7 linked regions of the Canis lupus familiaris genome follow. The protein of the gene in region 6 interacts with the protein of the main gene of each other region in a biochemical or structural test. Links are inferred from orthologs where the notes say so. Each region holds a gene or a part of one and is shown on either strand. Other genes may lie near its edges.

Evidence for each region.
Region 1: the proteins of ERBIN (region 6) and SCN4A interact in a test that uses a peptide from one of them, tested with the Homo sapiens proteins (2 studies listed by BioGRID and IntAct). The link is inferred for Canis lupus familiaris from reciprocal best matches to the Homo sapiens genes ERBIN and SCN4A.
Region 2: the proteins of ERBIN (region 6) and KCNA4 interact in a test that uses a peptide from one of them, tested with the Homo sapiens proteins (3 studies listed by BioGRID and IntAct, with this or other methods). The link is inferred for Canis lupus familiaris from reciprocal best matches to the Homo sapiens genes ERBIN and KCNA4.
Region 3: the proteins of ERBIN (region 6) and ARVCF interact in a test that uses a peptide from one of them, tested with the Homo sapiens proteins (3 studies listed by BioGRID and IntAct, with this or other methods). The link is inferred for Canis lupus familiaris from reciprocal best matches to the Homo sapiens genes ERBIN and ARVCF.
Region 4: the proteins of ERBIN (region 6) and PKP4 form a complex in vitro, tested with the Homo sapiens proteins (4 studies listed by BioGRID and IntAct, with this or other methods). The link is inferred for Canis lupus familiaris from reciprocal best matches to the Homo sapiens genes ERBIN and PKP4.
Region 5: the proteins of ERBIN (region 6) and ACVR2A interact in a test that uses a peptide from one of them, tested with the Homo sapiens proteins (2 studies listed by BioGRID and IntAct). The link is inferred for Canis lupus familiaris from reciprocal best matches to the Homo sapiens genes ERBIN and ACVR2A.
Region 7: the proteins of ERBIN (region 6) and ABCA1 interact in a test that uses a peptide from one of them, tested with the Homo sapiens proteins (2 studies listed by BioGRID and IntAct). The link is inferred for Canis lupus familiaris from reciprocal best matches to the Homo sapiens genes ERBIN and ABCA1.

The regions. Positions count from the first base shown.
Region 1 is NC_049230.1:15,031,365-15,035,805, forward strand, and holds the start of SCN4A (sodium channel protein type 4 subunit alpha), read left to right. Parts: upstream 1-1,597; 5' UTR 1,598-1,693; intron 1,694-2,257; exon of another isoform or gene 2,258-2,495; intron 2,496-4,441. UniProt on the Homo sapiens protein: Pore-forming subunit of Nav1.4, a voltage-gated sodium (Nav) channel that directly mediates the depolarizing phase of action potentials in excitable membranes.
Region 2 is NC_049242.1:51,057,334-51,061,712, forward strand, and holds the start of KCNA4 (potassium voltage-gated channel subfamily A member 4), read right to left. Parts: upstream 2,956-4,379; 5' UTR 1,970-2,955; coding exon 1-1,969. UniProt on the Homo sapiens protein: Voltage-gated potassium channel that mediates transmembrane potassium transport in excitable membranes. Forms tetrameric potassium-selective channels through which potassium ions pass in accordance with their electrochemical gradient.
Region 3 is NC_049247.1:29,511,273-29,514,958, reverse strand, and holds part of ARVCF (armadillo repeat protein deleted in velo-cardio-facial syndrome), read right to left. Parts: intron 3,620-3,686; coding exon 3,120-3,619; intron 2,517-3,119; coding exon 2,333-2,516; intron 1,511-2,332; coding exon 1,393-1,510; intron 982-1,392; coding exon 810-981; intron 153-809; coding exon 135-152; intron 1-134. UniProt on the Homo sapiens protein: Contributes to the regulation of alternative splicing of pre-mRNAs.
Region 4 is NC_049257.1:4,568,400-4,572,738, reverse strand, and holds the start of PKP4 (plakophilin-4), read right to left. Parts: upstream 2,968-4,339; 5' UTR 2,840-2,967; intron 1,981-2,839; exon of another isoform or gene 1,871-1,980; intron 1-1,870. UniProt on the Homo sapiens protein: Plays a role as a regulator of Rho activity during cytokinesis. May play a role in junctional plaques.
Region 5 is NC_049240.1:51,343,618-51,347,303, reverse strand, and holds part of ACVR2A (activin receptor type-2A), read right to left. Parts: intron 1,761-3,686; coding exon 1,651-1,760; intron 1,450-1,650; coding exon 1,295-1,449; intron 1-1,294. UniProt on the Homo sapiens protein: On ligand binding, forms a receptor complex consisting of two type II and two type I transmembrane serine/threonine kinases.
Region 6 is NC_049223.1:50,959,379-50,963,803, reverse strand, and holds the end of ERBIN (erbin), read right to left. Parts: intron 4,010-4,425; coding exon 3,917-4,009; intron 3,446-3,916; coding exon 3,371-3,445; intron 2,582-3,370; coding exon 2,474-2,581; 3' UTR 502-2,473; downstream 1-501. UniProt on the Homo sapiens protein: Acts as an adapter for the receptor ERBB2, in epithelia. By binding the unphosphorylated 'Tyr-1248' of receptor ERBB2, it may contribute to stabilize this unphosphorylated state.
Region 7 is NC_049232.1:61,170,539-61,174,224, reverse strand, and holds part of ABCA1 (phospholipid-transporting ATPase ABCA1), read left to right. Parts: intron 1-647; coding exon 648-853; intron 854-1,453; coding exon 1,454-1,630; intron 1,631-3,558; coding exon 3,559-3,686. UniProt on the Homo sapiens protein: Catalyzes the translocation of specific phospholipids from the cytoplasmic to the extracellular/lumenal leaflet of membrane coupled to the hydrolysis of ATP.

The sequences.
Region 1 (4,441 bases), on a different chromosome or scaffold from region 6:
GTCTGGGGCACGCGGACACCTGGATCACATCATCAATAAAACTACATGGAAATTGTGTGTCAGAAAGGTCAATGAGCAAAGCAGGACAAGAACCAGGCACAGAGAATGCCAATGCTCACACCTGTAGGTTAGGAAGACACACCTCTGAGGGTGTGATGTGAGTCACCTGGAGTGAGATGTGGGCAGTGCAGGTAGCAGGAACTTCTCAAACCACAGCCAGGCCTGGCCCCCAAGGAAGGGCTCGACAAGACTGAGGCTGTCTCCACAGAGAGTCACTGGGAGCAGAGATGCCATCCCACCTGCAGGACTGAGGGTGACCACTCTCCAGGCCTCCCGCTGTCCCTTAACAAAGGCCACTCTGTCCTGGGCTCAGCTCAGCTGGAGCTCTGGCTTACCAGTAAAAGACAGTGTCAGGGATGGACATGGGAGACTGGGGAGGGAAATGTAGGGAGCTTTGGGGAGCAGAGACTCCGGATTCAGTGGGAGGGTTCTCTTGTCTGCCTGGGGAAAGCATAGTGGGCCAGCTGGGAGGTGGGTCATTTCACAACAGCTCCACCAGGGGTCATCGCAGCCCCAGACTGGCCGCGGGTGGGGGGGCGCAGAGGGCTAAACCAACCTCTTCGGGGCCCTCCACCCACCCTCCTTTCCCGGAGCTCAGAGAGACAGATGTCTAGCCAGTGGGATGGTGGCGAGGGGACTGGTGGTAGAAAAATTAGGTTTGAGACTTCTGTGCTGTCCCGCTGATGGTTGTGTGGGTGTGTAGGTGGTGTGTGTTTATGTGTGTGTGTATACAGATAGGCACACACTTAATGAGAATCTAGTGATCACAGGTACACACAGGTGGCCCTGTGTACGTGTGAACAGGGGCGTGGTCAGAGACTCAGACAATGGTATGGACATAAGTAACATGAATGGACATGCGTGAATGTGTGAGCATGACCGTGGGTATGGGTGTGTGTACACGCAGGCATACATGCGATGAAATCTAGCGTCCGGGATACGTGGCATTTGTGTTCACTTGGGCAGGAGAATAGATATGACTATACATGTATAATAATACAAGTATCCGCACGAGCCCGATGTGAGTGTGGGAGCGTGCTTGCGTGAGCAATAAGCATGCGTGGGAACGGGTGTGACGCACCTTGGAAGGTCTGTGTGAACATACGAAGGGTGGTTTATGTGTATAGCTGAGAACGTGTGAGTGTGGCATTTGTGGGGAGACACATCCATGAGTGTGTACCGGAGCAAGTGTGAGTGTGAGTGTGAGTGTGCGAGCTGGCGTGTGCCCCGGGGGGCTCTGGGGAATGAGTGTGAAAGGGGACTGGCGTGTAGAACGAGCCCGTGTGAGCTCCCCAAGGGTGCGAGAGGACCTGGTGGGATGGGCTCGTCCATGTGCCCCCGCGTGTGTGCGTGTGCGCGCGTGTGCGTGCGCGTGCAGGCGGGCCAGCGGGTGCCAGGGGCCCCCAGCCCCGGCGGTCCCCGGCTGAGCCCAGGCGCACCCGGCCGGGCAGCGCGGCCCAGGCTCCCACCTGAAGATTGGCCCGGTCCTCAGGTTTCACTCATGACCCTGTGACATCAGCAGCAGCTGTCCCCGCCGCCCGCCCCCCGGCCAAGTCCCCCGGAGTCCCAGCCCCAGCCCGAGGTGGGCGACGGCGCTCCAGGCTCGGCCGCAAGCCCTCGGCTCCCGCCGGCAGTGAGTACCGCACCCCGCCCGGCCGCACCCCGAGGGCAGGCCACCCCGAGGAGCAGGGCGCCCTGGCCCCGGGCCCAGCCTGGCTTCAGGGAGGCCACCGCTTGGCTCCGGGTGCCGTCGTCCTCCCGGCCTGCCCCGGGCCCTGCTCTGCCACGGCCCGCGCCCGGCTCCCCGCGCCCCGACCCTGCGGTCCGAGCCTGGCCTGGGCCGCCCTCGGTGGGCCGCTCTCCGCCCTCGGCCGGTCGGGCCCCCTCCCTCGGCGGCGGCTGCGCTCGGCTCCAGGCGGGCACGGTGACCCCGGGGACGGACGGGGCTGAGTTTCTTCAGGGGAGGAGAGCACAGGAGCCAAACGCCTGTCCCCAGCCTGTCCCCACGGGCAGCTCAGGCTGTTCACGGTGGCTCCGAAGGCAGGGCTGTGGGGGGAGGAGAGCGGCGGGAGGCCGGGCGGGGGGTGGTGGCGGCTCCTTTGCTCTGCTGAAACAGGAATCTTCCAGATGCCAGCGGAGGACACATCTCAGGCCGCACCGCCCAGGCTCTGCCCACCGCCCCTGCCGCTCCCGCAGGCCTGGGGCGAGGCTGGGCTCCTTTCCTGGGCAAGTGGGGAAGGCAGAAAGCCTGGCCCGAGGGGAAGAAGATGGGGCCGCCGCACTGAGGGGGCTTCGGGGGGATTCAGGAGGAGCCTCAGGGCCAGGAGTGGGGCCCGGGGCAGAGCGCCGGGAGAGCCAGGCACCCCAACACCACCACCACCGGGCGGCGGGGGCGGGCAGCCGCTAGTGGAAGAAGCCGAGAGGCCTGAGCAGAGGTAGGACGAGGGGTTTGGGAGGAGTGTGGTGTTGCTTCCCAGAGGGGGGCATTTGTTCAAAGATTGGGGATCCCCATGTAGAGGGCCCTGAGGGTGGGATGGGGGCTTTGAGGCTTTCCAAGGAGGCACTGGATGGCACAGCGGGCCTGAGCGCCTTCCCGCTCCACACGGTTAAGGACTATGTCTGGCGGCCCCTCCCCCTGCTCGGGCACAGGGCCTGGGCACCATGAGGGCTCCCAATGCCCCAGGGTGGGGAGGGGGCCCTCCAGGGGGATCCTAAACATGTCCCCCTCCCACCCATACCACCTGCAGCGGGGCCCTGCGTGGAAACAAATCACCCCGGAGCCTGGGAAGGTCAGAGCCCAAACAAGCCTTGAAGGCCTTTGAGGTTAGCCTCTATGATGAGCCATCTTGAGGAGACTAGCTGGAGACCAGTTTGGCGCCGGTCTGGCTATTCTGGAGAGGGGAAGGGGTTGACAGAGAGGCAGGGAAGAGCCAATGGTGGGCATTGTTGTCCTTGGTCTATGACAAAGGCTGTGACTGCCCCCCAGAGCCCTAAGCGGAGATAAGGAGCCCCCAGGGGTGGCAGCGGGATGGGGACACAGGTGGAAGACTGGTCCTCCCAGGACCCTCCAGATTCTTCTAGGGTCATCCCCAGTCCCCTGCCCACAGCTAGTGGCCTCCTTCTATGTGGTAGTGTTGTGGACAGTTGTGGTTACCACACTAGTATTTGGAGCCACATGACCTGTGTGGGCGAAGCAGGGTCCCAGACATAACCCAAAAGGCCCTCTCCCGTCTCCATCCCAGGCAACTCTCAGGGGACTGGCTGGGATTTTTATTTTTATTTTTTTATTTATTTATTTTTTTTAATTTTTATTTATTTATGATAGTCACAGAGAGAGAGAGAGGCACAGAGACACAGGCAGAGGGAGAAGCAGGCTCCATGCACCGGGAGCCCGACGTGGGATTCGATCCCGGGTCTCCAGGATCGCGCCCTGGGCCAAAGGCAGGCGCCAAACCGCTGCGCCACCCAGGGATCCCTGGGATTTTTATTTTTTTAGTCAGGTTTTGGGAAGATAATTAAGGGTCCTTCCTAGGTGACCCTGTCCTAGCCTGGTTCTGCTTGTCATTTCTGGTTGGGAACCTGCCTGAGGTGGGGCTCAGGACTTGGAATCACCTTCCCAGCTCTAGGCTGGCCTGAGTGCCAAGGCGTGCCTACTGTTTTCCCTCACCAGGCCTTCTGGGTCCCACCCCCAGGCCAGGTCATGGGAAGCCCTGAGTTCAATACTGAAAGCACAAAACTCCTGCCAGACGATGGGCAGTGGTCCTGACAGGGTCCCTGCCTCCAGAGGCAACTCTGGCCACCAGAACAGAGAAAAGTATAGAGAGTGACAAGGATGGGGCGGGGGTAGTCCAGCTGGGGATGGAGTTGAGAGAAGTCTCCAGGGCCAGGCGCAGCCAGAGAGGAGACAAGGGAGTGGACCTTGCAGAGAGAAGTGGAAAGGCTCGCTCTCTCTCTCCAGGTGATAGGACAGAGATGCATTGAAGGGAGATGAAAAATCTGAGACCGAGTTCCCAAAGAGCAGGTAGGGAGAGGAGGGGACGAAGGAGGGTGGACGTCAACAAGCAGGGTGCAGGTTCTACAAGCCTTCCGTTCCTCGACTCCCCTTAAGGGAGGGCTCAGGCTCTGAGGGTCCTGCCACTTGCCTGCGGCACACAGCTGGTGAGGGGCACTGATGCTGGTACGGGGCTGCATGGGGGGCAGAGCTCGTCCCTGAGACTTGGAGGGGGGGTGGGGGTTCCAGCAGGCAGCCCTAGGGCTGGCTGCAGGTGCCAGGCCTCCTGCAGGGGTCCCCAGCTCGGCAGTGGCAGAGACAGGTCATGGTTCCCAGGGGCTCCTTCAAGAGGTGCTCCAGGAGCTGGGGGAAGCCAGGGTTCCCTCTACC
Region 2 (4,379 bases), on a different chromosome or scaffold from region 6:
AACAGTTGTTTTTCTCCGTCTCGCTGTCGTCCCCCTTTCCCTGACACTTCTCCTCCTTCGCGCAGAGGGATTCCTTAACTCCTTCTTCCATCTCCAGATACTCTGACTTGTCCCCCAGGGAGGAAGAAGTAGAGCTCCGAAATTTCTTCAGCAAATTAGAGGGGAGGTACGGGCAACTGACCGCATTCTGTGTCAGCTGCGTCTGCTCCTCATTCTCAGTCTCTCTGTGGTAGAAATAGTTAAAGTTAGAGACAATCACTGGCACTGGCAAAGCGATGGTTAAGACACCTGCGATGGCACACAGGGACCCCACGATCTTGCCCCCCACGGTGATGGGCTTCATGTCCCCGTAGCCCACAGTCGTCATGGTCACCACGGCCCACCAAAACGCATCTGGGATGCTCTGGAAATGGGTGGTGGGCTCATCGGCCTCCGCGAAGTACACGGCGCTGGAGAAGAGGATGACCCCGATGAAGAGGAAGAAGATCAGAAGGCCCAGCTCCCGCATGCTGGCTCGGAGCGTGTGGCCCAGGATCTGCAGGCCCTTGGAGTGCCTGGACAGCTTGAAGATCCGGAACACGCGGACCAGACGGATGATCCTGAGGATGGCAAAGGACATGGCCTGCTGCTGCTGCCCGTTGCCGCCCCCCTGGTGCTGGGCCAGATCGGTGCCCAGCGTGATGAAGTAAGGCAAAATGGAGACAATGTCAATGATGTTCATGATGTTTTTGAAGAAGAGCGCTTGGCTGGGACAAGCGAAGCAGCGAACCACGAACTCGAAGGAGAACCAGACGATACAGACGGTCTCCACGATGAAGAAGGGGTCGTTGAAGATGGTGTGCCCTGAGTTCTCTAGGTGGGGCGCCGAGGAGTCGTTCAGCGACCCGCCGTGTCCGCCCGCGCCCAGTGCCATGATGAGGTCCCTGTCGTCCCGGAACTCGGGCAGGGTTTCCAGGCAGAAGATGACGATGGAGATCAAGATGACCAGGACGGACACGATGGCGATGCCCCTGGCCGGGCTGGAGCTCTCCGGGTACTCGAAGAGGAGCCAGATCTGCTTTTTAAACTCGTTCTCCGGCAGGGCCCGGTCCTCCTCCTCCCGCACAAAGCCCTCGTCCTCCCGGAACTTGAGCAGGGCCTCCTCTCCCAGCTGGTAGAACTTCACCTCCTCCGTGAAGATGTCGAAGGGCACGTTGACCGGCCTCTTGAGGCGGCCGCCCGACTGGTAGTAGTACAGGATGGCGTCGAAGCTCGGCCGGTTCCTGTCGAAGAAATACTCGTTTCGCAGCGGGTCAAAGTACTGCGTCCTCTTCTCGGGGTCGCCCAGCAAGGTGTCGGGAAACTGGGCCAGGGTCTTCATCTGGGTCTCGAAGCGCAGGCCCGACACGTTGATGACCACCCGCTCGCAGCAGCCGCTGGGCCGGCCCGGGCCGTAGGCGCCGTCGTCCCGGGGCAGCAGGTCGCTGCAGGAGCCGTGGGCCGCGCGGTCGTCCTGGCCGCGGCCCAACCGGGCCTCCTCCTCGGCGTCCTCGTCGTCCTCGTCGTCCTCGTCCTCGTCGCTCAGCTCCCTCAGGATCCTCTCCTCCGAGCCGCTGGGCAGCAGGTCCGAGCCGTGCGGGAAGCCGCCGGGCCGCGGCTGAGGCCTCCTCCGGTTGGGCCGCGAGCGCCGGCGCCTCCGGGCCACACGGCCGCCCTGGGGCTCGAGTGCGGGGCAGGTGCCGCGGGGCTGCTGCTGCTGCAGCTGCTGCTGCTGGTGCTGCTGATGCTGCTGGTGCTGCTGGTGCGCGCCGCCCCCGGGGCCCCCAACGCCCTCCGCGGCCGCGGCCGTGGCCGCCGCCACCGCCGCGGCCGCCGCGGCCCTCGACTGGGCCAGCCGCTCCCGCTCCCGGGCCCGGGCCTGCGCCGCGTAGCCGTAGGGCATGTGGCTGTTGCAGCCCGAGCTCTCGGCGCTCACCATCGCGACCTCCATGGCCGCGGGAGGCGGGCGACGGAAAGTGGGGCAGCTCCCCGCCTCACCACACTAAGGTAAGTTTGGAACCGTTCAGCAGATTGCTCGGAAGACTGAGGATATTTTCAGTCCAACTTTGCATTTTCCGTTTTTAAACCAGCACGCCCCATGCTCTCGGTTCCCAGGGACGAGCGCTGCTCTCCAGGCCCGGCCCGTCCGGGTAGCGCGCGCCGGGCCCAAGTCCCCGCCGGGGCCCCCAGCGCCCGGGGCCCAGGCGCAGTCTGGAAGCGCGGCCCCAACTGGCCACCGCCGCCGCCCGGGATTCAAAGGCCGCGGCTATCTGACGGCCAGCACTTGTGCCTGGAAAACGGAATGGATTTTTCTGCCATGGAAATCGTCCAAAGCTCGGTCCATCAGATTTAAATAAAATGCAAATAAGCCTTTAGTCTTAGCACTTGCCTTCTCGTGACGGCTTGACCCGAGCGGGCGAGCGGCTGGAAGCGCGTCGGGCCATCGCCGCCCAGAGCCCGCGGCCGCTCCCTGGGTTCAGCACAGGCCTCCGGGGCGCGGGGCCCGGGCCGAGCTCGCGACACAGGCGAACAGCTTGGGAGGTAGAGAAGGTACGAGGCGAGGTGTCAGCGGGGGCCAACCCGGCTCGGAGGTCTCCATGGAAAGCCAGGGAGCGCAGAGCATCCTTCAGCTGCGGCGGCGCAGAAGCAGCACTCCACCTGAAAAAGGAAGGGAACAAGCATGGGAGCAGAGTAAAAAGCATCGACGCGTAAAGAGCCGACGGCGCCTCCTTCCCAGACCCCGCTCTTCTGGGCCTCAAGCAAGCAAGGCACCCGAAGCCCCGAGGGACCACCGCAGCCGGTTACGTCTCCTCCTCACCCAACCACCCTCCTGCCCTCTTCTTTGGTTCTGATTCCCGCTCGGGCTATTTTCATGGCAACTCAATTATTTCTCCTCTCTCCACTCCACCCACGTGGCCGTCCCTTTCGCTCATGCCAGGTCTTAACTCTCGCGGTCACTCTCTTCCTTCCACGACAACGACGCGGTCACCTTACAACTGCTTCCATCATTCATTGATCTCAAGGCATAGGTTTTCTTTTTTTTTTTTTTTTTTCTGAATTTCCACTCATCAAATACTTCTGAATTTAGTGCCTCTCCACCCCTCTCTGTCTTGATTCAGGATCAGGGCCGCTGGAGGAACCGGCCTGCTTTCACCCAGGCTCCACGGCTTCCACAAGCCTCAGTCTCCTCACCTACGAAGTGCAGGGCACATGGAACCTCCCCCGTCTCTTGGTGAGGACCGACGGAGACGGTGAACGCTGCCAGCAGAGCACAGACATCATGCACGTCCATCATGCTGCCGGCTCTGAACAGGGCGACAGTGACCTCGGCCTCTGCTGTCTGGTACTCACCCCAAACCCCTATGTCCATGCACCACAGTCTCAGTTAGGGGGAGGACAGAAGTGAGGACACGGGGGCCTTCGGAGACTCCCCAGCGGCCTGTCTTAGGTTGGCACTTCCTGCCGCCCTGAAGCATGTCCCTGTTGTTGTTTTTCTGTTCCCCAGACTCCAGAACACTCCCTACCACCCACAGCCTAGGAGCTAATCCCAGTTTCTACTTCTCTGATAATCATCTTTTTTTTTTTTTTTTTTTTTCCTCCTCGCGGTTCCTCCATGTTCACCTCAATGCTTCCTCCTACATCTTCTCAGGGGACTATCTCCTTATGTTTAAAATCCCAGTTTGTGCGGATTTTATCCTCCACCCATCAGACATTCCCCTCATAATTTCATCCATCATCTCCCGTCTCCCGGACCCACCCCGGCCGGCTCCCTTGCCTCTCTCTGCCCACTTCTGTTTCCGATCTGCCACTTGCTGATCGCATCTTCCTCGCAGCCCCGATCTGGCTCCTCTGTCACCTGGAATTCCTGGCCTCTCTTCTAGGTCGGCTCCCTCCAGGTCCAGCTAATTCACGTCCTCAGCAGGACCTGGAAAGACTGCCCTGGTCTTCTGTCTCCTATGCTTTTGCATTCAGTGGGTCCGACAGGACTCCCGAGAACGCAGGGTGGCCCCGAGAGCTGGGGAGGATCACGACAGTCAGAATTCAGGGCATCCACCAGTTTCTATTACTGGAAGCACTTGGGGAGCACAGGAGAAATGGCTTTCTGGAGCCATTAGCAGGATTCAGCGCTTGACCACCTGCTGCTCCAGGCTGAATCCTGTCGGCCTCGGAGCCTAAACCCACCCGAGTTTTACGAAGTGACAGAGCAGGGGAGCGGTAAGCACAGGGCTCCCCAGTCACAGCCTCCTAGGGCAAGAGGCGAGCTGCGTTCAGACACAGGATCCAGAAAGTACACCTCGGAAGCTGTCTCCGAGGACAAGCCCCTTCCGTTGCCGACTCCTAACAGCGGCACGTTCCCTGAG
Region 3 (3,686 bases), on a different chromosome or scaffold from region 6:
ATGGGGCAGGGCCCTGAGGCTGGACCGCCCTGCAGTCGTCATGGAGATGACCGCCTGGACAACAGGGTGAGCGGCACCTCCCTGGTGCCCAGCGCACCCACCAGGCCTGGACAGCAGGACAAACAGGGACTCACCTTGATGGAACCACTCCTCTGGGCGGCCGGAGGAAGCACAGGAGAGAGGAGACGAGCCTGAGTGGGCAGCGCCCTCCCATGCCCTCCCAGGAGGCCTCGACTTCCCACTGCACACCCCAAGTTGAATAGACGGGTCGTGGAATCCCACCCAGATTACTCTGGAGGGCTGAGTGCCCAGAAGTGGAACAAAAAAAGTGGAGGCCTGGGGTCAGAACAGGTCCACATGGGGGGCAGGGGAGGAGGGCAGGTGCCAGGGAATGTAGATCCTGGAACCTGTACCCAGCAAATGCCGGTTGGGATGGTGTGAAGGCAGGGTGGGCATCTCAAGGTCTTCAGGTGCTCTGTGAACGCCAGGAGGCGGCATCATCTTCAGCACTTTCCACACATGGGCCCAAAGAACCCCTCCCAGAGCTGAGTCCAGGCAGCAGCAGGAACACCACATAGATTCACTCCTGCCCTCCCCTGGGGGGCCCACAGTGCAGATGAGGGAAGGCTGGCCGGTCAGCCGGATGACCCAGGGGCTCAGTACACCCTCCTCGGCAACCTGCTTTCCCACCTGCCCATCAGGAGCTGACCAGGTGGTCTCTAGCTTCTGTGATGGCCATGGGTATGGGGGCCCTTCATCCTGGAGTGGCAGGCGGAGTCCTAGAGTGGTACCCCGTCCCTCCCACACACCTTTGGCCTTCTTGCCACCGAAACAGCCAGCGTCATCCCTCCTCCGGCGCTGGGAGCCTGCAGCACTGCCTGGAGGCCCAGGCTCAGCCTCTTGGTACCTGTCAGCCCCAGGCACCTCCTTGTGTACGTGGTAGGACAGGTTCCGCATGATACACACGCAATTCTCTACCGACTGTGGGGAGAGGAGAGTTGATGGAGCAGGGTCTGGTGGGCAGAGAGGCTGCTAGCCCTCCTGGGGAAGCCCAGCCACAGCCAGTGTACACGGGAGGAACTGGGGGTGTAGAGATGGGGACCCACGTGGCTGAGGACTCCCAGGGAGGGCTGAGGAAGGAAAAAGGTGGGAGAGCCTACTGCATGTAGGACCTCGTCTGGGAGGTCACGGGTGTCCGCTCCAGTGTGGCCACTGTGGGGTGGCCCACACCCAGGGTGCTGCCCCAGACCCCCACACCTATTCCTCCTGTGTTGCCCAAAGGGGTCAGGCCCCCTGGGCCCAGTTCTTGCTCCGTCTCTCGAACCTTTGTAGGAGGTTGTGAGACTGATCCTGCTGGGGCCTGCTAGGCTCTCCCCATCCTGCTCCACTCACCTTGTTGTCCGTGTCCTTCCTGCCCACAGCTGACTGCAGGGCGTGCAGCAGGGCATCCACCAGCCCTTCACATTCCCGGAGCCGCCGCCGGGCCTCTGCGCCATCTGAACTCACGTTCCTGGGTGGCCAAGAGCGAGCCCTGTGACCCCTGGCTCCCATGGGAACTTCCCAGCCAAGCACTCCCCACTCCCAGCCTTGGGGTCTTGTCTTCATCTGTAAAATAGGGTCTGATGCCACCCTGTCAGGGCTATTGAGTGTCCTGACCACTGAGACCCTAGGGTAGAGCCCTAGTCTGCCATGTGTGTGGGGCAGGGGGCCTTCTATGATCCCAGCAGAACTGAAAGGGGACAGAACGGGGTCCAGAGTCCTGAATCCATGCACAGATAATTCTGGGCTCCCCCTACCCCAGTGGCAGTTCTGGGTTCCACCTTACCCCGTGAAGACCCCATAAAGCCATGGGGGTACATTCTGATGAACAGGCAGGACCCTGGAGACCCAGGACCACCTGTGAGGACTCTGTAGGGATACCCAGGGTGGGAGGGTTAGGGCAGAGGTCTGAGGATGTGAAATGAGGCCTCTGAGGCAGACAGGATGAGGGTCCTAGCTCCCCCTATCCTGGCTGCCGTGGTGATGGGAGCATGGGTCAAAGGTGAGTGGGGCTGGAGACAAAGGGTACTACATGAGACGGTGGCAGACCTTGTCCAGAGGCTTCCCTTGGGGCTGAGTATAATAGCCCCATCCAGTCCCATTCTCAGGACTCAGGCAGGAACTGTAGTGTGGATGTGAAGCTCCTAAAACTTGGGGGGCTAACTGTCTTCCATGTTACTGAGGATATTCCCAGGTACGCACACAGGCTCTAGTGCTTGGCTCCTGCCTCCTTGACCAAGAATAGCCCTGGGCGGCTGCACAGAGAGTGCCCGAACCCGGCCCCCACCCACACCTCAAGCAACCCGATGTGTTCTTGAAGACTGTTGTCCACTCGGCATCCCTTGGCTTGGAATCCTCATTGGGCTCACGCTCCCAGCCCGAGTGGGGCACAATGACCTCATGAGTCAGCGTCTGCAGGCCGTGGTCAATGATGACCATCTTCAGGGGCTCGTAGGATGACAGGTTCCAGAGTGTGCCTGCGGGGCGCCATCAACCAGCCAGTGCTGACCACACAAAGCACTGACCTCCCTACCTCCCCACGTGACCTCGCTCAGGACGTGCCCCAGGTCAGACCAGAAGATAGTGACAAAAGCCGTGAGAGGACCTGGGTGCCCACCCTGGCCCAGGCAAGATGTGCAAAGGCACCTAACAGTACTACCAGCCGGGAGGAAGCACCAGAGGGGCTGGGACACAGAGCAAGGGCTGGTGGGGAGCCTGTGGCTAGACAAGCAGGTGCCTTCTCTTCCCCTATCCCCTCTGAGCCACATGGGTGAATGGCACTACCCCTCCACTGGCTCCACCTGAAGGTGGTCATATTACCCTACCTGGCCAACTGGGTCCCCTAAGGCACAATTCCCCCAGCACAGCTCCCCCTGGAGGGTGGGACCTGGAGGAGTATGGGTACATAGGGGCAGGTGGCAAGGGGGCCTGCCCAAGGGGCAGAGACACTGAGGACCTCTGAGTCTAAGCCATGCCTACCCCCAGCAGCTGGACTCCTGACTGCACGGGTGGGTGGGAGGGGACATCTGTTCCTGGCCAAACCTTGCTCTCCTTCCCCCAAGGGATGACGGTGCACTCACCTGTGACGAGCTCTCGGACCTCGTTGTCCCGGGCTGCCCGCAGCAGGCGCACCAGAGCCGGCACGCCGCCACAGTCCCGGATGGCAGCCTTGTTGTCCGTGTCTCGGCCGTAGGAGAGGTTTCGCAGGGCCCCGCAGGCCCGCCGTCGCACCTCCGCCCTCGGGTGGTCCAGCAGAGCCACGAGCAGAGGAAGGCCCCGCAGCTGCCGCACGCGCCGCTTGACACCCTCATTCTCGAAGCACAGGTGCTGCAGGTAGGCGGCCGCGTTGGCTTTCACGGGGTCCACGGGGTGCCGCAGCATGGCCAGGACCTCCGGCAGCTCGGGGTCCCGCCACCGCGGCTCCTTACGGGCACTGTCGACGGAGGGCGACCGCCGGACCACTCGGTCCAGGCTGCCCAGGCTGCCCCGTTCTGGCTGGGCCAGGGGTGCGGTCGCAGCAGGAAACGGGGGCCGCTCCTCCATCAGCTCGCCGGCATCATCTGCCACTTCCTCGTAGGCCCTGTGCAGGCGGGCAGGGTGCAGGGACGTCTCAGCAGTGCCACAAGGCATCTGCTCCAGAGCTACTC
Region 4 (4,339 bases), on a different chromosome or scaffold from region 6:
ATCCTATTCCACTATCTCCCTTCAAAATAGCGTAGGTAAGAATTAAGGTAACTAGACACTTAGTTCCACAATCTTTGGAATCTTCAGCATAACATACAATATGTGGTAACATACAATATGTGAAATGCAGCACCTTCTTCTTATGTAATAGTGGGGGTTGGTGAGGGAATAGACTTTGGCCAAAACACAGTTATTGATTGTGAATGATCACTATTTTTGAAACTTCCCTTCAAATATCTATAACAACTAAAATATATTTCTAACTAAAAGCCTACCTTTACTTGAAGCAAGTAAAACTATTTGTACAGCCAATCATGTATATACATAACCTATACACTTAGACCAGTTGTTTCAATTTCTAATGTAGCAGAGAAACTGAAAGTGCTTTTACTTTCTAATCTTCACATCAAATCAAATAAGCAGGTGCTCTACTCTGTTGTAATATGATATTGTTACATAACAAGTTTCCTGTTGGCATCTATAAACACGTCCCAATATCCAATACAGTGTTACTAATTTAGAGTTAAGCCTCTAAATTAAAAGATCCACAGATTAAGGACATACCTAAAAAACAATGTAGCAGGCAAAAGACGCAACGTTTCCAGGTGCAAAGTTTTGGGTTTTATTTCCCCCCTTCTATCTTTCCTTTCTGTTGAGTCCTAACTAAAAGGTTCTCATCTTATACTATTCAATGCATTTGCTCCACACAAAGTAGGTATTGGAAGACAGCTAGACAATCAACTTATTATTTTCCTGAATCTGATACAAAATAACCAAGTGTGGAGAGGCTTATAGTAAACTCAACCTCCAGAGCAAACTGTGTCAAAGAAAGGCACACATAGTATGCTTTTCAACATCCAGAAATGTTATTTTGGACCTCAGTTGTTCTCATTTTCATGTTACCATTTCCATAACTGTTTCACAGGCACAAGAAGATACTTCTATAGCAATATACTGCATTCAAGAAGAGAAGCTGTCTTCTACTTCCCCTTTTAAAATAAAATAATCTAAGTCCAATTCTAGAAAAGCACTGTCAAAAATCTGCTTTTCTGCATTAAAGAAAATAAAATTCGACCAAAAAATATATATGCATCATTATGATTTTTATACATGACTACAATTCTTTAAAAGTTGGAGGGTTCTATTTATGTTTTTCAGTCAAACTCGGTAACAAAAAGAACGACGACCTCAACTAATAAATTACATCTTGAAATATACATGATTGTGTTGTCCCCGTGTTACTTCCAGTGGTAACTGACACGCCCCGAATTTAGCTGTACCAGACAGTTCTATCTGTCCCATCGCTGACCAAACACTGCTTCTCTGTTTCTATTCATCATGTATTATAAGAGGTCTAAACACAACCCAGCATGACGAGAAAAAAATTACAATTCTTATGATAGCAAAGTGATGCATTCGAGTTCTCTTGCAACACATGCCTACCCATGAGCATTAACAGACATTTTTGCTAGAGCTAAAATGCGTTGGCTGCAAGCTCACTACTCCAAGAACCTTGGGCACCTTTCCTGCAGGCTTTCAAAAAACCCTCGTAAAAACCAGGCTCTATTCAAACCTTGCAAACCAAACTTGCCAAGAACCTTGTGCAATGATGAATAACCTTGGCTACACCACCCTCCGCCTCAAAACCCCGGTCCTGGAGACCAATGCAGCAAAACCCAGGCTAGAGGCTAGCGGAAGCCCGACACAGCCGCCGCGCTTCCCCTCCGCCGCCGTCTGCCGCAGGGAGCGAGGAGCGAGGCGCGGGGAGCCGGGAGCGGGGGAGCGAGGCGCGGGGAGCCGGGAGCCGGGAGCCGGGAGCGGGGGAGCGAGGCGCGGGGAGCCGGGCGCGGGGGAGCGCAGCTTCGCTCACCAGCTCCGAGGATGCTCCGGCGACCTCGGGCTGCGCGGCGGGAGCCGGGCCGGGAAGGCGCTAGTGCAGCGGCGGCGGGCCGCCCGGACTATGCCCCTGGTGCATTCCTCGCATTCCTGCACAATCTGTCGCCAGCCGACGAGCCCGCTGCGCGCCCCCCCTTCCCCCGGACACACACACCTGCCTATCGCTGCGCCCCGGGCGGCCGCGGCGCCTCCCCTGCCCGCGCCCGCCGCTGTCGCACTCAGCCGCGCCGATCCCGGCCCCGCCGCTCCAGCCCTCGCTTCCCGGCCGGGGGCGGGGGGGGGACCCCGGAGCCGCCCGGGCTGGGGGTGCCGCAGCTCCGCTTCAACTCCTGGCAGGCGCAGGGCGGCACCGGGGAAGCCCCGGGCTGGGGGCCGCGACGGGTGGAGCGGGGGCTGCGCCGCCGAGGGCGCGGGGCGCGCCGGCCAGGGCGGCGGGCAGCCCGGCGGGAGCGCGGGGCTCGGGGGCAACCGGGGCAGGCAACCGGGGCAGGCAACCCGGGCGTGGGAGGCAGGAGAGCGGCCGGAGGGCCCGACGCGCCGCCCCGAGCGCTGGGGGGCGCGGGCCCGGCGCGGGCAGCCGTCCGGGGGGCTCCGGCGCGGCGTCCGGCGCGGGGCGGGGGGCTCCGGGGAGAGCAATGCGGGGGAAACTTGTGCGCCGCCGGGGGGAGGGGCGCCGGCAGGCGAGTGCGGGCAGGAGCACGCGGCGGGGCGGGGAAGCCGGGCGGCCGCGGGGCGCTGGGACGCAGCGAGCGGCAGGAGGGAGGGAGGCGCCGACCCCCGCGCCCCGCACGGCCGGCGCGGGCTCGGGCTCGGGCTTGGGCTCGGGCGCGGGCGCCGGGGTCTGGGGCCGGGGTCTGGGTCTGGGTCTGGGTCTGGGGCCCGGAGCGGCGCGCCGCCCCCCCCCACACACCCCCGAGCCCGCCCCCCGGACCCGCACACTTACTTTCCCGGTTAGGCTGCGCCCGCCGTCGCTCGCGGGCCCGGGGACATCCGCGCAGAGGGGTCGCCGCTGCGGCACCCGAGGAAATTAGAAAAGTGCCGCGGCCCAGCGGCGGCCCGCCCCCCCTCCCCCGCCCGCCCCCGCCCCCGGAGCGGCTCTCCCACCACCCCCGCGGCGGCGGCGGCCCGCGGGCCCCTCTAGCCGGTGCCCATGGCGCCGCCTGCGCGGCCGGCGTCGACCCGGACTCAGCGCCGGAGCCCCCTCTGCTGCCCAGAGGCCGCCGCCGCCGCCCGCCCGGCCGCCAGCGCGCGCGCCCAGCCCGCCCCGGGCTCCCGGGAACGTCAGCACGCCGCCGTCCCCGCCCCGCCCCCCCGCGCAGCCCATTGGCCGGGCGCGGCAGGCCGGCCCTCCCCATTGGCCCGGCCCTCACGTTGAACGGGCCAATGAGAGCCGCGGTTTCAGGTCGCCATAGAGACCGATGCTGTTAAGAGCGAGAGGGCCCGAAGCAGGCGGGGAGGGAGGCTGAAGGTGCCTGGGGTTTGGGGGCGGGCGGGGGCGCAGGGAGGAGGTGCGTGGGTTCCCGGGAGCAGGCTCGGGAACCCGAGGCAGCTGGGGCTTCGGCTTCCTGTCAAGCCCAGCTGTGCACGTAGGGTTCGTTCCTCGCCTCACCTCCAAGGCGGCGACCGCTGAGCCTTTGTAGGAACCCTGGAGAGCCTAGGAGTGGGCATTTCGCTCGTCTTGCCTCCGGGAGCCCCCGAGACTTTGACCTTTGACCTTTGACCTGTGTGCAGCTTCGGCTACTCCAGGTGAGTTTGCACCCTACCCATTAACTCGCTGCTTCTTCCTGACGTCACTGACCCACCTGAATTCTACTTGGTCTGCATCCAAGCACCCCTCTGTCCCTGAGGCAGACCTTGCCTCAAAATGTTGGGTCTAAAAACTTAAAGCCCCACCTGAAGGAGACTCAAACAAGATTTCCTTTGAATGATATTTTGGCAAGGAAGCAGGCTGACAGTGAGTCGTCACGTAAGATAGCGTGTTCCCCGCTTCTCCAAGCAAACCTCTAATCTCTCCATGGAAGGATATTTATTAAAGACCCACCTGTGTGTACATTCTGCTCCGGGAGCCTGGCAGGTGCACGCTCTTTCCCCTAAGAGTCTACAGGGTGGGGAAAGACAGGTGACAAAGTCAGTTCTCCATGCCTTTTGATGATCTCAGAGAGCGGAGGGAATAGATTACAGTTGATAGATGCTGTTTTCTGGGTATTTTCCAGTTTACCTCGAATTTGTTAAGTGAACTGAGACGTGCAATCAGTACACAGAAAGATCTTGAGCTTTAATCACAAGTTCTTTGCTTTCATTTAGTCACTTTGTGCTAGTTTGTCAAAACAGTTGTTTCATGTAAACAACTTTCATATTTAGATACTGGCTATTCAGGTGACTCGACGTGAAAATATTAGGCTTTAAGCATGATACTGCTCTGTCATGTAGCCACTGACATTCT
Region 5 (3,686 bases), on a different chromosome or scaffold from region 6:
GGCCATCTGGAGTAAGCTACATCTGTTTATTAGGCAGCGAAAATTTTTATTTTAAAATACTTTCAGAGATAATTTTTAATAAATCCACAAGTTGGTAACTAAGGTTTAAAAGTTAAAATATTTCAGCTGCACAAAACAGTGTTTACCTAATTTACTGAATAAGGTATTTTACCTTTGGGTTTATTTCTCCATGTATACATCTTACAAAGATTATGTGGATCAATAACCTAATGCTAACAGATTGCTGCCAAGTACTGAGAAAGTAGTATGTTATGTAAATAAAGCTTACAGAGAAGAAGTTGTTTTGGTCATTAAATTATAGGACTTTACCATTCTTCTACCACGTTTTAACCATTAATCCTAGTATTAGAGTAACAGTTAAACCACAGATCCAAAAGGCCAAGGTAATCTGATCTTAAGAGTTGAAAGAAACACAGTTAAAACTAGAGTTTGAAGATGTCGCAAACAAGTATAACTACAGTTTTCACCCTTCCTGAGTTTGCAGAATATTAGCTACTTATATTAAAAGAACTTGTAAACCATTGTACCAGTACCAACTGTCTATGTGATAGAGAAAGAGGAAAATTTCATGAATTTAATCTGATTACCCACCATATCTATAGTTTAAGGTAGATTTGGGGTCAGGAGAGGGAGCATCGAGGGCATTGAAAAAATTTTTAGTATTAAAAAAAAAGCTTTTTAGTTTTCAGTACACACTTGATATGCTGCAAAAACAATAACAACAAAAAACACTTGAACTATTACTAATAAATGATGAAAAGCATTGCTCATCTGCTCCTCTTCCCAGAAACATTTTTTCGTATATAGCTTCCTGATGCCTTTGTGAAACCTCCTTTTCCACACTTTCTGGATCACCTTACTAAAACTCTCCCTATGGTTAAAAGGATATTTTGGCAAGTAGTCTTGAAAAAGGCAAAAGAATTAAGGAATGGAAGAAAGAAGAGAAAGGACAGGTTATGATATCACTTATCCATCAATTACTTCTCAAGAAACAAAGCTGGGTAAATCTCACACTTGAAAGTATTACAATGACAGTGAAACTGTCCAAAGAACAGAATACCCTTTGTTCTACCTTACCTCAGCTCCAAAGTGAGAAAAGTTTAGGACACAGCAAATTACTAAGTTTGGAAAATTAGCTATAGTTGCCATAACAATAAGCATTCAAAAAGTAACACCAAAAGAAAATGACTTATAGCAACCCAGTGGGTTTCACCACAGTAATAGTTCTGTAAAATATACAACTTAAAACAGCACAAGGTACAAGACAACTTACTTGAGTTGGAACAAGTACAGGAGGGTAGGCCATCTTATGATGCCTATACACCCAAAATGCACAAATAACAATCCCCGCAATCAACATAAGTGGCACCAAGGAATAAAGCAATATGTTGTAATAGGGTGGCTTAGGTGTAACTGGGTTCGAAGTAGCTGTGGAAAATGGAAGGAAAAAAACAATTCAGCTTTGGTCTACAAAATTCCACAATAAGTATTTATTGATTTATAGCATCAAATTTTAGGAGAAAAACAAGAGTAGGAGAAGGTAGGAGTAAATTATTCCATCAACACAAAATATGTTTTGCTTTCAGTGTACTAGTTGAACAGATCTATGTATTTTCCCTGTGAACTTACGCTGTGTGACTTCCATCTCCGGAAAATAAGAAAACCTTTCGTTACACATATTGCCCTCACAGCAACAAAAATACACTTCAGGGCTGTCTTTTTTTTCTATACAATCAGTCCTATAAACAAACAGAGGAGAAATCATTAAAATCAGCATTAAACTGAATCCACAATGGGTATTTTTCTAAAATTCTTCTCAGAGATAAAATAATGGAAAAGTCATTCATGGTCAACTTAAAAGATTTTTATTAATATCCAATGATCAATTCTTAAAAGCCAAAAAACATTCCAGTAATCCTTCTACTAAATCTCACTTAAAAACAAAAACCAGCTGCTTTTACAGCAATGACACTAGCTTCTTGAGGCCACTGCTATGACCTTAATCTGGTTTTAAATCATCAATCTAAGGCAACTATGTTTCTTTAATTATTAGAAAAGTGTAAAAAGGAACATAGAGCCAACGAAGAAATTTGGCTTACAAGTGCTTTCTCTTACAGGACATATAGCTTTCCCATTGCATGAATTAAAAAGCTGAACACTATAAATAAAACTATGTGTATGTGTACACACCGATACCCATATATACGTATATGTTTATATATAAATATACACACACACACACAAGGACCTAAGTTCCTTTCATGGCAGGACCTATCTCAACATCACAGACCCAAGCTAGGTTTGGGAATTAACAGTATCATTTTTTGGAGTAGATTTAAATTCCCTAAACACAATGAGCAAGGGTAAGATAACCAACAAGTAGAAAACAAAATGTAACAAGATATAGAACCTAATAACTCAAAAACTGATATGAGGTTGACTGGGGAGCTGAGGAGATAGGGATTCAGCCACTAGAACAAACCCTAATCAGCCAATAAATAGCCATACCTGTTTGAAAACAAACAGATAACAACAACAACAACAAACCTTTAAATATGCTAATAAACATCAGGTAAATTTAAAGACATATCCTACAAACTGCAAACTTTTGTGATGGCTGTTAGAATAATAAGGTTGAATTTAAAATGGAAAGCTTAAGAAATTTCAGGGAGAAGGCTGTTTTAACAAAATCAAACATTAAAATTAAATCTACACCAATTCTATTTAATAGAAAATAAAAGACAACTGAAAGCTAAATCTTAAGTTATAAAAAATATATGTTTAAAATCTTAACATTTAGAATCATGCCTCAAATTATAGGAGGGGAAAATGATTACTTAGCCAAATTAACTCAAAAAAGTACTTTTCCCTATCCAATTTCATTCTTTGTATCATTGTCTTTTCTCCATACTTTGATATTTCTTGAATCTTTTCTTTTTCCTTCTCTTAACTATCAGGTGAGACGAACAGTAGTTTTTACTACAAAAAGAACAAGGATCTCTGGTTTCAACTAATTAATAAAAGATAATTTGGAAAAAATATTTTCCCCACTTTTCTGGAGATAAAACTGACATAGCACTACATTAGTTTCCAGTATACAACATAAATGGCTTTCATATTTGTACATATAGTGAAATGATCACCACAATAATATAATGTCCAACATCACACATAGTTAAAAATTCTTTTTCTTGTGGTGAGAACTTTCAAGATCTACTCTCTCATCAAACCACATGGGTGGCTCAGTTAGGCATATGACTCCGAATTTCAGCTGAAATCTCAGGGTCATGAAATCGAACTCCTGTCTCTCTCACTGCCCCTCCCCAACCTCCTCTCTCTAAAAAAAAAAAACAAAACAAACAAAAAAAGACAGAACAAAAATCTACTGTCTTATCAACTTTTAAACATACAATATACACTACACATTAGGTGAGATCATATTGTATTTGCACCTTTCTCTATACAATTAATTAATTTCACTTAGCATAACATCCTCTATGTGTGTATGTGTTTGTGTGTGTGTACACACCACATTTTCTTTATCCATCAATGTACACTCAGGTGCTTCCAATCTTGACTATTATAAATAATGTTGCAATAACCATATGGGTGTATGTATCTTTTTACAAGTTAATATTTTCATTTCCTCCAGATAAATACCCAAA
Region 6 (4,425 bases):
TGGTTAAGTGCCACCTTCAGCCCAGAGCGTGATCCTGGAGACCCAGGATCGAGTCCCATGTTGGGCTCCCTGCATGGAGCCTGCTTCTCCCTCTGCCTGTGTCTCTGCCTCTCTCTCTCTCTCTCTCTCTGTCTCTCATAAATAAATAAAAAAAAATCTTAAAAAAATTAATTAGAGGAAAATACAATACTAGTACATGTAACGCTTGCTGCACTTGTATCAGTATAATATGCAGACAATTAACTTAAGGTTAGATCACTGTTCAATCAGTTGTTTTCTGTGTCTCATTTCCTTTTCCAAAATTATCTCTGTGTATCTGATTTGAGATAAAGTAGTTCAGTTGAAAATGTCGCAATTATATCTATTTTATGTATTCCTTATTAAAAGTAGAATGTGACTGAAAAATTGACTGAAATTAACAAAAAGTGATGTGTCAAAATTAATATTTTAAAATAACCTATGGAAAAAAAAATAACCTATGAATAAAGGGAACACCAAGGCTTGTCTTAAGAATCTGTTTGTCATTATTTTTTTTTAGAGATTACAACACACATACAGTAAATGAATTTTATCAAAATACATCACATTTCTTCTACTATATCCATAAAAATCAATTCCTATGTAAATAGTACTGAAAAAACAACTAAAATGAGTTAAAATTTACAAAGAGTTGTTAAAGGGTTTCAATCACAATATTATTAAAACTATACAGTACAATAACCAAATGATAACATCTTGAAAGAAGTGCAATATTTGAGTTCACATCTTTTCAAAATTACTGCCTATTTACTCTGACTAGCAAGAAAGGAACGAGTCTAACTTTTTTGCAAAAATAATGTAAACTGCCATTTTTGCTCATCCTATAAAAGTCGTAATTAAAATAAAGTTGAAGAACAAAGCATAACAGATTAAAAATTCCAAAATTATATTTCTTAGTAATTAAAAATGAATTGCAATAACTGAATATTGCTCTAATGAAAGGCTCCAGACTAGCCTCGACTAAAAAACAGTTATTGGTCTTCTGTGGCACTTTTTTCTGGTCCAAATAACCATGCATTAATTCTTACCTTTGCATGTTACTCAAATTTTATTGAATTACACAGACAGAACAAAAACAAAATTAATAGTTTGGATAAACAAATTAATAAACATCTATGAAATATTTGTTACACTAACGAAGAACAAAGGCAGCTGGTGGTAAAACATTATTCTATTACACTGATACACTTAGAAACCCTTTAAAGACTCTGAAGTGTCGAGTTCACATTTAATGTTACCTGTAGGAACAGCCCTTTATTTGAACACCTTTACACACTGGCAGGCCTCAAGGACCCATCCCTTTGCTCTACAACGCTCCACAGCAATTCTCTATCACTGTGCCAATTTCACAAACTTGCTTTGGTTTCCTAGCTCCATGCGTACTGTTTCCTTTTACTTTACCAAGGCAATGTGAGACCAAACAAAATCAAGAGGCTTTCCTAAATCTGCTTACACTTTGTGTTACAGCAACACAATCTTAAAACTGGCCATTTTAGTTTCATTTGCTGCTTAAAATAAAAATTATAAATTAAGATTAAAATGGAATACTAATTATAAAACAGATTGCAAGGACCACCATTTGCAAAAACTCAAGAGATTTCCATATCAGAAAAAAAATGCATGGACATGCATCTACAGAAGAGTTAAAAATTTCCTGTGACTAAAAAATTAAAAATTGAATCACCAGTAGCAAATGTATTGTCAATGGCTATGACAAGAACAGATCCTGTAGAGTTCATAAAATGCAATTATTGTCTCTTTTTATTTCTTTAAAAAGACATTACATTTTTATTGCATTATTTTATTAATAAAAACACATTAACACAGCTGTTTTTTCAGTCTTTGCTTCCAGATTTTTATAGGAATTAACTGTTTTAATCTGGCCTTGGAAAGTGAACCCACCAGTACCACCTTCACCTACTCACTCTTCAATTCAATATGCACATAGCAAAAACCAACACTTCAAATCTCTTGCCCACATTAAAAAAAAAAAAAGTAGTTTCAGCAGAAAAACATTAATACGAGTTGAATAAAAATAAGGGCATAAAAGCTATGAGACAGATAGCTCTGCCATCTGTCTCTGGGCTACAATCAAGGCTAACTAGAGCCTTGCACAGAGTTCAGTCATGTGTATGAAATCCAAAAATAAACCTACAATCTATACAAAAACAACATATGTTTGTTTTTGTGGCCTTGATTGCTATGTTTAAAAACCTAACAAGAACTTTTATATGGTATGAATTCAACAGTCTCCCCTATATACTGTACAGTGGTTCTTTCCCTCTAACCACAAGTTCCATTATTTCATTAATGTACAAATTTGAACATAATTTTTTGAGTTCTTCTTTACATATAAAAATAGTCAAAATATTAATTTCCCCTGCAAATATCTTCCAATAAATCTTGCTGCCTTCCCTTTCTTTGTCCACAATTCTTATGAGGAAACCTCTCGTACAATGATGAGTTCTACTGCATTCTGGAAAGTTTTTAGCAAGGACACTGCTTGTCCATGTTCAATATTGATAAAACTGTAGCCATTAGCCTAGAAGAAAGAAGAAAAACGTCTTTAGGAAAAACATTCCACAGTAATTTATTTGCATTTATACATCTATTTTTGCTGACGGTGCACAAACCTGGCTGAAAGTAAGAATCATTTTGGCAATCTACAGCATCACACAGACTCCTGGGCCCTATTTCACATCTATGAAAATAAAATCTTTGAAGGTGGGACCCGGGAGCCTGTACCTTGTCTACTTTTCAGATGATTCTTATGAGGCAACCCAATGTCAGGAAGCACCTGGCTAAGACACAGAGCCAGACATTGGGTTATGTGTATGTGCTAACATGTAAATGAGTCCCCAAGATGCAAGGACAGCAGAGGGCAAGGCCTACTCTTCCCATCACTTTGGACCATCAGATAAACACTACATTTCTTATAATTTAGGCTTAATACTTATTGAGGTCTTACTATATATCAAACACACAGTTCTAAGTGCTTGATATGAATTCTTTAATTCCTATAACAAACAAGATTCTTTCACCATCTTATTTTAAAGAATATTCCTGAACTTAAACAAAATGCTAAGATGTATCAAACATGTATTTAAAAAGATCCATATGATTTTCCAAGGTTCAAGGAAGAAATATCTTAAACTATGAAAATATCTGAGTGGCCTATAAGAAATGCCACTATTTTCATCCACAGATTTTTAATGATAAACTTCAAAAAATGATTATTTTTAAAATATGGCATTTAATAATTCCTTGATGAGGAAGCAGATGTTATAAAATGTAAAGTTAAGAAAATAATAAAAAGATGTATATTAGTTACCTGAATAATTTTATCACCCGGTTGTAATAATTTGGATGCTGGTCCCTCAGGCTGTACCCTTGTTACAAATATACCCTTTAATAACAACAAAAAAGGGAAACACTTAATGGAAAACAGTATGCATCAATAGAAGAGATGATTTTTCTTTGACAGTAGGCATATATTTGAATCATTGTACAAGTTATCTTCCTGCCTTCTCTGAATATTGTTACAATCCCTTGTTATGTTTGGTGCTGGTAATTCTGACTTGAGTATAGTGACTTCTCTTAAAGTGACAAAGTTACTTCTAGGATGTGCAGAAAAGTAATAACTAAATTTAAAAATCACTTCACAATGTGATGGACTTGTAAAATTGGCAGTTTAATTTGTTTTCCTCAAACAATTAAATTTGAAGTGGATCACATTTCTAAAAAAGCTGAACAACAGAAAACAAAAGGTGATTCTATATTTATATAAGTATCTATTGGATTTTTACTTACATATAAGGGGCATTAAGTTAGTGAATAAAATCTCCTGGGTGTCTCAAGAACATACAAACAAACTCACATCATCTTCAGGTCTGAATGGATTTCCTCGGCCCCCAACACCTCCCGATATGCTGAATCCAAGTTCTGGATCCTTTTCAACTCTCACTCGAATCTGAGTTAAGATGAAAATAAACTATTACTAATATCTCAGAAAATGCTACAACACAGTATTTAACTATTGGTAAAATATGTAAAGATTCATCTAAAATAAATATTCAGGTAGATGAAGGGAAACTACAACATGGAATATTATGTTAATGAGTTAGTGAGTTAAAGGCACAGCTGGGATTATAAAGCATAGCTCCTAACTTAATCTACTGCTGTTTTACAAGGATAGGCAACCAATTCATAGTGATACCTTTTTTAAAGATATTACGGATTTTATTTTCCGCTTATTATCAGTTTCCATTTGTAAAATATCTAAATTACATAGTATCTCTGCGTATTGAGTGTTTCATAAGATATTTAAAAATCCGTGGGTGGTTGTTGAGTATCAACTCCTCATTTCCTGAACCTGTTTATATCCTT
Region 7 (3,686 bases), on a different chromosome or scaffold from region 6:
CCTAATATAGGGCTTGGTGTACGGAAGGCACTCATAAATGTTAGTTGAATGACTGAATGGATAAATAGACCTAACTCTAGCTTTATTCTTTCTGACTCAAAAGTGTTTCTGTCCACGGTCTCCTAGGTTTTCCCAAGGTTTCACAGCTCAATACCTAATGGCAAGAAAGCATGCCCTTAAAAAGGCATTATTTATGAAATTTCTCTAAGAACTAATAGGATACATTATATTTTAAAAATCTCTTCTTAAAAATTATGTGACTTAATAGGGACAGATAAGGGCCTGGGTGTGTTTTTGTTTTTGTTTTGTTCTTTATTTTTTGTTATGCTTATTTGGTTCTTTATGATTCAAAATTGCCAGAAAAACAGGAAAATGAGGTCTGATCAATTGTTTCAACCTCTTTCCCTCCACAAAAATCAATATAAATAACTTATCTCTAAATACTTCTAGCATTTCTCTTAAATTGCTGTTAAAAAACAAAAGGGTCCATTCTCAATCGAATCTTGGAAAATGACTTTGGAGAGGAGGAGAGAGTGAGGACAAAAATGTCACGCAGTTAGCACGTCCCTCTTGGGACAGAGTCTGCCTTGGGCACTGCTTGTTTTCCTGGAGGCTGGAGTTTCTCATGAAGGCCGTTTTTCCATCAGTGTGTCAACCTGAACAAGCTGGAACCAGTAGCAACAGAAGTCCGGCTTATCAACAAGTCTATGGAGTTGCTGGATGAGAGGAAGTTCTGGGCTGGTATCGTGTTCACCGGAATCACTCCGGGCAGTATTGAGCTGCCCCGTCACGTCAAGTACAAGATCCGAATGGACATTGACAATGTGGAGAGGACAAATAAAATCAAGGATGGGTGAGTTCAAGCCCACCACACCAGCCAGTTTGGGGGAAGTCAAGAGCAGCTAATATGACTAGAGGCACTTTGTTTTAAGTACTAATTTGGTAGAAATGTCACCAAAAAATAACTCCAATTGGTGGCATGATTTTGGTGAAAGTGGTACATCCCGTTGCCAGAGACAGTTTTTTCAAAGGTCCTAAAATAATCATCTTTTGATTCAGCATTTTCGCTCAAGAGAATTAATCCCACAGCATTAAATCAACAGGAAAAAAAGAAGAAATGGCTTTAGGATTCCTGTGCTAGCATTATCCTATTTTTTATAAAAAGGAGTGAGCAACCAACGTAAAAGGGAATGATTAAACAGATTTTGGCATGTCCACTTGCTGCAACGTTAGGTAGCCAAGGAAGAGTTTAAAACTAAACCAACCTTCTGGTGGTGGTATGCTCACTCTGATTGTATCAGTTTTAATATATGCACAGGACTGAGAGCAGAAAGTAAGACACAAATATGTTAGATGAGAACAGTGACTCGGTAACGATGGTGGATTGTGAGTGATTGGCTCTTTTAAATGTACGGTTCTAAGGAATATTTGATCACCTGTGATGTGATTTTAGGTACTGGGACCCGGGTCCTCGGGCTGACCCCTTTGAGGATATGCGGTACGTCTGGGGGGGCTTTGCCTACTTGCAAGATGTGGTGGAGCAGGCGATCATCAGGGTGCTGACGGGCACCGAGAGGAAAACTGGCGTCTATGTGCAACAGATGCCCTACCCCTGTTACGTCGATGACATGTAAGTTACCACCAAGCCACCATCTTCACGTAACAGGTTAACACTGTCCTTAGAGAGAGTACCTACACACACACATATGCATGTGCATATACCCAAAGGAGGTAGGATGCTTTGATTTTAATGATTTCATATGTGTTGTCACAAAAAAAAAAAAGTCTTTTCTGAAATTCAGTGAATAACTTTAGAAAATAAGATGCCATATGTAGGTAGTTCCAGCCACATCACTGACACACATGTGCACATCCTGGTAATCCTCCCTCTTTTTTCATCTGTGGTTACCAGCAGTTATATTGTTTACATACCCTACCCTTTTGGTCAAAGTTTTGCTCAATCTGCAATTTTTTTTTTTTAAGATTTTATTTATTTGTCCATGAGAGACACACAGAGAGAGGCAGAGACACAGGCAGAGGGAGAAGTAGGCTCCCTGTGGGGAGCCCGATGTGGGACTCGATCCCAGGACCTGGGATGAGGACCTGAGCCAAAGGCAGACACACTCAACCGCTGAGCCACCCAGGTGCCCTCAATCTGCAAATTCAACATGTGGCGTGACAAACACCTGCAAGCACATACACACATACATAGATCCCTCAAACACAGAAACATTGATCTAGACCTATAAAAGCTGACTCCATGTCAGTTCATCCGCTTACTCTTTATAAGTGGTAAACCACATTTTGAAGCAATCCAAATAAAACTGAACAAGGCCTTTTTATCTTAGACTTTAGATAATCTTTCTGTGCTTAGTTACTAAGCTGCCAAGATCTTGTGGGAACTGTGCCTTTGGATCTAATGATTTCTTTTTAGTTTTTTAGAGAGAGAGAAAAAAAGAGAGAGAGGAGCAGGGCAGGGGTTTGAGGAAGGGTCAGAGGGAGAGAGAGAATCTTAAGCAGGCTCTACACGGGTGTGGGGGCCCCTTCTCATGACCCCGAGATCATGACCTGAGCCAAAACCAAGAGTTGGACGCTGAACCCACTGAGCCACCTCAGCACCCCCTCTAAAGATTTCTTGTAGGAGAGCATGGGCCAAGGTGTAGTTATTACAAGCATCTGAGATATGTAACGTCTCTTCCAAATTCTGGAAATTCTCTTATTCTCTGTTGTGATATATATGTGTAGAGATCAGAGTACAGAAGGAGCAGAGCTCCTCTTCTAAACATTTGCCCTCTGCTTTGCACTGAGCAACCGTTTCCTTGTGTGGCTCACTCTAGCTCTTCCAAGTCACCCTTGGAATTATCTTGTTTTTTACCTTCAGAAAAATTAGTCAGACTTTTCCAAAAGAAACCCGCCTCCCCCCCACCCCCCCACTACCCACTCAGCCCAGATTTACTCTAGAAAGGGTGTCTTAAGAGCAGGACAGGATGGGAGCTTAGTGGCATTAAGGGACTTTGCCTGTTGTCACATTGCTGGGAAGTGCATAAGTAGTAAAGCTGAGACTTGGGCCTGGCATTCCAGGGTCCAAATTCTGTGTCCCTTTTACTTCACGGTGCTCCATTTCCTATTTTGGTTTGGAATCTGAATTATTACAAGAGCTGTCTGGAGTCTTTTTTTTGTATTATCTGTGATAAAAGTTGGGCAAGTCAGTAGTGAGATGACCCTTGAAGGTGTTGAACTCTTGAGAGAGAAGGGGTTGTTTTTTTTGTTTCTTTGTTTTAGTGCTTTAAAAGTTACGTAGTTACCTAGTGATTTAAGCAAGTCCCAGAGTAATGGTGCTTGGCAGCACCTGGTAGGTCTAACAACGGTCACCACCACGTTGTGCTCCTCATGAAGCATGTGATGACCTGTATGTTTTGGAGCTTGGAGAGCCTGCCCCTTGTTCACTCAGTCTTAGTCTTGGGGCTTCTGCTGGCATGTGGGTCCAGGGGGGCACTGGCCTCTGAGCCTGATTCTCACTCCCTCTCATTCTCCCCCACCCTTCTCTGGGGCCTCCAGCTTCCTGCGGGTGATGAGCCGGTCCATGCCTCTGTTCATGACGCTGGCCTGGATCTACTCCGTGGCCGTGATCATCAAGGGCATCGTGTACGAGAAGGAGGCACGGCTGAAGGAGACCATGCGCATCA